Linked DNA regions of Kluyveromyces lactis. The protein of the gene in region 1 interacts with the protein of each later gene in a pairwise test. Links are inferred from orthologs where the notes say so. Each region holds a gene or a part of one and is shown on either strand. Other genes may lie near its edges. The genes, in order: MET4 and MET30.

Region 1 (3,932 bases):
GCTCGAGATTTTCAAGCGTTAAGCAAACAATATAACAGTGTAAAGACCGATTATGAGAATAGGGCAGTACAGAATCCCATACCTGACGAAGAGAGTAAAGATAATGAATCGGAACATCTCGTATCGCAATATGAAAGCATGCCAATACAAGACGATATCGAGAGGAGGGATCATTCTTCAGAGGATACTCCGTTACTTTTGTCTACCCAACAGCAAGAGCCTTTGTTGAATCAGGATGAGTTAGATTTTCACACGATAATTCAACATGAAAGATCCCAGGACATATCAAAAATCCACTCTGCTGTGCAAGAGGTCAATGCCATCTTCAAACAACTAGGAAGTCTGGTACAGGAACAGGGCGAACAAGTTGACACAATTGGCGAAAATGTGACAGGATTATCTAATAATTTGCAAAAGGCGAACAAAGAACTTCACAAAGCAAATGAATATCAAAGGAAAAAGAACAGATGTGGTACAATACTTCTAGTAGCTATTGTTGTTATCACTCTAATAACTCTTATCGCGATTCTATCATAGGGTTAGATTCTACGAGGAATGTAACTATATATTAATACAAAATTTATCTCTGGCCTTATACTTGGATGAAAGTTACGTTACGTTTTAGAGAACACGCATCATCAGGTAAATATGTCCGACTTAGAGGTTACAACTAATTATTAATCATAGCTTACTTGTCAGTATCCTTTTTAGTGCTTTCGGAGGAGTTATTTTTGGATAGTTCATAAGACTCAACATTCTTGAGATCTCCACGTTCAATGACAAGATTTTTGAGAAGTCTGTTTTCCATTTCAAGGGTATTGATTCTTTGCTTCAAGTCACAAGCTAACTGTGAAAGATCTTGGACCCAAGTTTCCATTTCTTTCTCTTTAAGTTTTTTAGTTTGATCCAAGTTCGGCAGTTTGGGTCTTGAAGAAAGGGTTGAGGAAGTGGACGACGATTCTACACCATCACTGGAGGAATTGTTTTTATCAGAATCAGTATTATGCTTTTTTTCGTTTATCTTCTCATCGAGACTCTTAGCAGCATTTTCCTTGTCATTGAGAAGTTCTTCCGATTGTCTCACCTCTTCCTTCAATTTAGCAGACGTTACATCCTTCCTAAGAGAGGAAGCTGATTCTAGTTTCCTGACAACTGATTTTGGTGTTTTACTGATACCATCATCCAGTGTTTGCTTTGCAGAATTCTCTTCGCTTTCTTTCTTTATGTTGTTAGAAATTGAGCCGTGGTGCACTTTCGGTGAGTTTTTCATATATGTATCAATAACTCTAGACTCTTTTTCCACTGGAGTTTTTTTGGCTCTTTTTGGATTAGGTTTATGGACACTTGATTGAGGAGATGGCTCAGGTTTTTCATGCAAAAAATCCAATAGCATGCCAACGGAGCTTTGAATATGTTCTTGAGGTTCAGGAACCAGTTGATTTTGCGAATTCACATCTATCGATGAGCCCAGATGGGAAGCTGACGATGGTGGTCTATTTGTAGAGTGATTATTTAAATTAGTTGGCTTCCTCACAGGAGGATCAAACTTTTCTCTTTCTCTTTCATAATAAGCCATAATAGCAGCTATGGCGTCAATCTGTTCTGGTTTAAAGCCAACATTACGCAAAGACTGGTAAGCACCTCTGGGAACATTAATGATAGGCAACAATGATACCAAAGTCGCAGTTTGTATTGTAGAGTAGTCTGGCATCTGTATATTTGATTCAAATCCTGATGTTGCAGCCGTACTTGGACGATACGGATTTTCGTTGCTATTGACATGATTATTACCATGGTTACTAGCTGTGTTGACGATTGAAGAGGCAGACGATACAGTGGTATTGGACGGATATGACATTGAAGTTAAATCATATGCGGCTAATAAATTTGTTAGTGGGGAAGTGGCAAACGGCATATCTCGTTGGCGGTTTGCACTTGTGCCATTTAGGTTGCCTGTATTATGACTATTGGATTGGTCTTGAACATCAAAGTGTGTAAATCCTCCATGATCGGGGATCGGAGAATTCTGTGTCGATGACCTTTTCCTCGAAAACCGTTGCCGCGTATGATCATACTGGTTTCCCAGCAGGTTTGATTTTCTATCGAACAAGTTTCTCTTTTCCGAAGAGTTTCTGTTATTATTATTATTATTATTATTATTATTATTATTATTGTTATTATTACTATTATGATTGTTACCACTGTTATTATTATTGTTATTGTCGATGTTATTATCATTAGTACTAGGATTAGCATTGTTGTTCAATCCGAAGTTATGGTTGCTGTTGTAATGGTCGCCGTTGTCATCGCTATCATGTCTATCAGCTTTGTCTTCATCTGGGAAAATAAAAGTCTCATCTGCGAAAACACTCAATTCCGCCGCTAAACGTTCATCCATCGCGAGCTGATTATCTGCACTTAAACCACCAACTTGATGATTCAAGGGCATCCCACTAAATGAATTTACAGTGTCACCATGAGGTCCCTCATTGTTGTAAAAAGAATTTGTCACATTGGGTCCAAAGTCAGAGTTAAAATCAGTAATAAAATTATCAACAAACGCTAGTTGTTCCAAAAGAATGCTAGGGGTAACATCATTATTCACATCAGCAGGGGGGTTAATCAACGAATGTAAGTGATTCGATGCGGTAGATGGAGAATGTGTCGAGAATTCCGGACTGTTCCCCCAAATGTTGTCCATACCTTGACTGGGATGACTATCATTAGGATTTCGAATATGATTATCCATATTCCTTGCACCAACACCGCTACTGCTGCTACCAGTGCGCTTAAGATTATTGGAAGTTCCACTATTCATAGCGGAAAGAATGAGAGAAGCCGGCTCGATAAATAAAGATTCACTGTCGTTATTCCCTGGAACTAAGGCTCAAATTTGAATGTGGCCTTTCACTCGATGCTGTTGATATCAACAGTAGACGATGATTGAAAATACTTTAGTTTGTATTATTCTTCAGCTCAGGTCTCGTGCAATTTCATCAAAAGTCGGGAAAAAAATGAGGAAAGGGAAAAGAAGAAGAAAAAAGTAATCACCAAACTGTGGAACGTCTATTACCCGGACAAGAAAATTACCCGGATACAGACATTACATCAGCCACAGTACAAACTGCACGTGATACGAAGCACGTGATTTGTGTTCCCTCGTGTTGTTCGCTTTTTTCTTTTCTTGCTTTCCTCCGGTTTCTGCGATCACCCGCGGAAAAATGTTTATTTATCCATCAGTATTAGTGCCTACATTCTCATTTCTCGAGTCAGTAAGCAACCCCGCATTTTATTGCTGGAGTGTTACCGCGTAGATGCTCTCACACAGATAGAAAAGCTCGCTGATCTAAAGAATGATTATACATATCGTAAAGAGAAAAAACAGCACACTAGTGACAGTTTGAAAATCCAGCACAGCAAGTAAACACTCATCCGATGCTCTCCCTATACCTGATCTTTCAGTACTAATGCCGACCGCCGGTTGCCGATCGCCGTTTGATTATTGTGTTTTGCTTGAGGTCGTTACCTGCGTTTGCCAAGTCTTTTTCTTCCTTCAAGATAAGGAGCTTGTAATCTAATCTTCAGAGATGAAAATCTGATAGATAGCGTAAACTAGGGAATCGACAAGACCCCATCGCAAATTATCGAGGACAAGAACAGGAGGTGCGATAAATATCTCCCGACTGACCTATGCATATCAAAAAAACTTTCTTGTCTCCTACCAGTTTGCTCTTACTGTTTCGTGAAATACGGATTAAAGTTTCCTTTTCCATGTTTCTTTTCCATTTTCCTGTGCTTTTCTTTTTTTTACAAAAAACTGGAAAGGAAAAATGAAAAAGAAACATAGTGAGGGTAAATACGGGTTGGTACGGGAAAAGAGCAGCAGAGACACAATTCTATTAGCAGGATAAAACGGCTACGATATTGCGGCT
Region 2 (3,879 bases), on another chromosome or scaffold:
CTGGGTTGACCGCTATTGCAACTGTATTGGATACAAGTGCACATCTAATCGAATCCAAAAATCCAAAGGGAGATGTTGAACTTCTCAGAACTATAAAATCAAGAATAGAAGGTGTCATGACTGCTCAAAAGTACGTCAGTTGTAGTTATAACGCTCCTGAGAACAAATTACCTGAACTTTTAAAAATTACTCCAGGAAGGAGAGCACCAACCATCTCTCAAATCAACGACAGTGGATGGGTAGCGGTTTCATCCATGATCGAAAGGAAAAACAAAGGTGATATTATGGATGACTTGAAAAAAAACGGTGCAGAAGATATCATGGTATTCGAAATTTCTAACTGTCGTGTCTAAAATGATTAGCACTTTTCCTCACCATAATTATATATATAAAATCTTATGCATGGGCACCTTATTGTATCCTTGTGTATAATGTAAGTTAATATAGATAAATTGATACAGCAAAAATTGTGACAATAGCAATATATTGCATGTTGTAGACAATATTTGAAGTCAGCATAGTAGGTATTTGACTCCTGCCTTTCAGCCCTGCATGATCGAACCAGTGTCCGTTCTTACTGATTGTCTTCGATTCTGTCTCTGTCGTTGTGGCAATTTTGATCACGTGAATGAACGAGAAAAATCCAGATAGCTTACCTCACCAGAGACACCGCTGGAAAGAACCAGAGATGAACACAGAAAAGCGCATAATGACCGAATGCACAGTAGCAGGTTACACTATACATATATAATGACTGATTTTCAAGGGAAAATGTGCCATGTTATATTCTTGGCTTTTAGTCAGATCAAAACATGGAATATCCTTGTAATAAGCCAGATAACCTGTAAAGTGTGGCTTACCTACCCTAGCAGTACAAACATATCTTTTTTTCCCATAAAGATAGTAAGAACGGATTTTAGCTAGTACTGAAATTTAGCGCAGAGAAAAAAAGTAAAAATATCGAAACTTAAACAAAACTCTTGACTGACAAAGGACTTCTTCAAAAGGAAAAACACTGCCAAAGTAAGACTTCTTAATCCTTAAAGGGGCGTCTCACTTCCCGATCTACCAATAGTTTGTTTGATTTATATAAAGCATCATATTTGTTGTATTAAGCGGTTTGGAAATTTTCAGAACAAACGAAAGATCAGCAGCGGAGAGAGCTCAGATAGGGAAGAACAACAAGTTTCGGTAAAGAAAGGTACTAGTGCTCATCATTGGTGGTGTTCTTATAGAATTTTCCTGTGAATCAAGGAAAGGAATTATATCCTTGTGGATAAGAGACATAAACGAAGGGTTTTGCAGTACTGCATCACTTTGATCACTGGTTCTGGTATATTTACAAAAGTTTGAGGAACAGAATAAACATTTTGGAAAGAGAACGCTAGGGAAGTTGTTTTGAGTCAATATACCCCATCATTTTATCTCATCAATATATTCAAATATACCATACGAGTTACGATCGTATTTCAAAATGGAGTTTAACCTTCAACAGACATGCAGACCGGATTTAAAGCGTAAGTTCGAAGATGTAGATTCGAATGGAGTGTCAGATCAACGACAGGATACTGATGGGAAGGGGGAAATTCTACGAAACAAAGCTTCCAAGGTCAATCAAAACAATGAGGAAATACAGCTTCCGAGTGAAATGCCTCAGTTCAATTTCTTTAAATTCTGCTACCGTCATAATCCAGATATTCAACACACTTGTAAGGATTCGATGGTTTTCCAAGATCAGGTACGGTCGGAGAAGTGGATGGAGAAAATGAAAGCTTTGGACAAGGAATCAGACCGAGCAATTATCAAACAAACGCTAGACAATTTCCAGCATAGCAATGATAAGATACGAAGATTAATGCTGGAAGGAATATTACAGCTTTGTTGTTTTCCCCAGCTATCTTATATTGCTGATGAGGTAAAACAATTGATTAAGATCGATTTCATTTCAACCTTACCAGAGGAACTTTCTTTGAAAATTTTAGGTTACCTTGACTGTCAGTCTCTTTGCATCGCCTCGCTAACATGTAAGAGGTGGAAAACACTAGCTGATGACGATAGGGTATGGTACCATATGTGCGAACAGCATATTGATAGAAAATGTCCAAACTGTGGATGGGGTCTACCCTTACTCCATATGAAGAGGGCAAGATACTTACCTGTAAATGAAGCACATGTCCATAATCAAAACGGCAATCAATTCCAAAATGTTGCAAACGGCAACGGGAATGAAATTGGAGGCGGAAAGTCACTAATCAATCCTGGCAACTCTCCCAACCAAACTGTTGCCGCTAGGGCTAGGAATAGCAGGTACTATACGAGACCCTGGAAAGTAATATATAGGGAACGGTTCCAAGTGGAATCCAATTGGAGAAATGGAAGATGTAGAATTCAGCTCTTCAAAGGCCATATGGATGGGGTATTGTCATTAAAGTTCAACCACAGACTGCTTTTCACTGGGTCATACGATTCAACGGTGGCTATATGGGACACAAAATCTGGTAATTTGATTAGAAGACTCACCGGGCACACGGATGGTGTGAAGGGTATTTATTTTGATGATCAGAAAATGATCACAGCTTCTTTAGACAAGACAATCAGAGTATGGAACTACATTACAGGGTCCTGTATATCAACTTATAGAGGCCACCAGGATTCTGTGCTATCGGTGGATTCATACAAAAAAATCATTGTGAGTGCTTCTGCTGATAAAACAGTTAAAGTGTGGCATGTTGAATCTAGGACTTGTTATACGTTGCGGGGCCATACGGAATGGGTCAACTGTGTTAAACTACATCCAAAAAGTTTCACTTGTTACAGTTCCAGTGACGACAAAACATTAAGAATGTGGGATATCCGTACTAATTCGTGTATTAAAGTTTTCAGAGGACATGTTGGTCAAGTGCAAAAAGTTATTCCATTAACGATCAAAGACACAGAAAATTTAGTGGTGGATGAAAAAATTGAAAAAGTACCCAACCCAGAGTTAGAAGAAGATTTTGCAGATGACTGTACAGGAATATTCGATCCGAATTTGAAATACCCTACACATTTGCTTTCATGTTCATTGGATAACACCATCAAACTCTGGGAAGTCAGTTCAGGTAGATGCATTAGAACTCAATTTGGACATGTTGAAGGTGTTTGGGATATCGCTGCTGATAACTTCAGAATTGTCAGTGGCTCTCACGATAAGAGCATCAAAGTTTGGGATCTTCAAAATGGTAAATGCATACAAACTTTTACAGGACACAAGGCTCCTATTGTATGTGTAGGAATTGGTGACAGTTCATTTGTTAGCGGAGACGAGCTGGGCGAAGTGAAAATGTGGCATTTTGATGATATTTGAGAGCCCTGTCGTAGAACCATTGGCATTGTTGCACCGATTACACTATAGCTAATGGTACAGAAGTGAAGGAACAATTGTGTTCAACATCTTCAAAACTAGCATAACTAAATACAAAAGTTTATATTGTAACTTATTTCTAGTCTCAACTGCTGCCTAAATACAGAGGCCACATAATGCCATTCTTTTTCGAACGAATACATTACTCAACGATCAGTTTCTGAAAGTTTTATCGTGCTCGGAACAATGTTTAAAATCAATGTACCTACCTGGCTTCATTAACCCCGAAACCATCAACGTTAAAAAGTCAAATGTCGAGCATGCGAAGTTGTGGAATTCGTCATTTAATTCGACCGTCGTATATGCGCGGAATCTAATTATAAGATCGCACCATAATGATTAAGATGATGAGCCTCGTTGAAACGTAACAGCGCACCGTTTTCTTCTTCGAAAGCCAAACTAACACATCTTCCATTTTTCATTGTCAACATGACCGTCTTTTGGTTTCCAGATTCTCACCAAACAGCTTAGAAAAT

The links.
Region 2: the proteins of MET4 (region 1) and MET30 interact in binary tests that used the Saccharomyces cerevisiae proteins (3 or more experiments, as listed by UniProt). The link is inferred for Kluyveromyces lactis from reciprocal best matches to the Saccharomyces cerevisiae genes MET4 and MET30.

What each region holds. Positions count from the first base shown.
Region 1 is NC_006039.1:1,125,625-1,129,556, reverse strand, and holds MET4 (Met4p), read right to left. Parts: upstream 2,819-3,932; coding exon 689-2,818; downstream 1-688. Other genes in the region: SNAP receptor VAM3, read left to right, coding at 1-537. UniProt on the Saccharomyces cerevisiae protein: Positive trans-acting factor capable of stimulating the transcription of the MET genes from the methionine biosynthetic pathway. MET4, MET28 and CBF1 are required for full induction of MET25 and MET16 gene transcription.
Region 2 is NC_006042.1:2,545,059-2,548,937, forward strand, and holds MET30 (ubiquitin-binding SDF ubiquitin ligase complex subunit MET30), read left to right. Parts: upstream 1-1,474; coding exon 1,475-3,346; downstream 3,347-3,879. Other genes in the region: HIS1 (ATP phosphoribosyltransferase), read left to right, coding at 1-353. UniProt on the Saccharomyces cerevisiae protein: Substrate-recognition component of the SCF(Met30) complex, an E3 ubiquitin ligase complex that mediates the ubiquitination and subsequent proteasomal degradation of target proteins. Negatively regulates sulfur amino acids biosynthesis genes expression.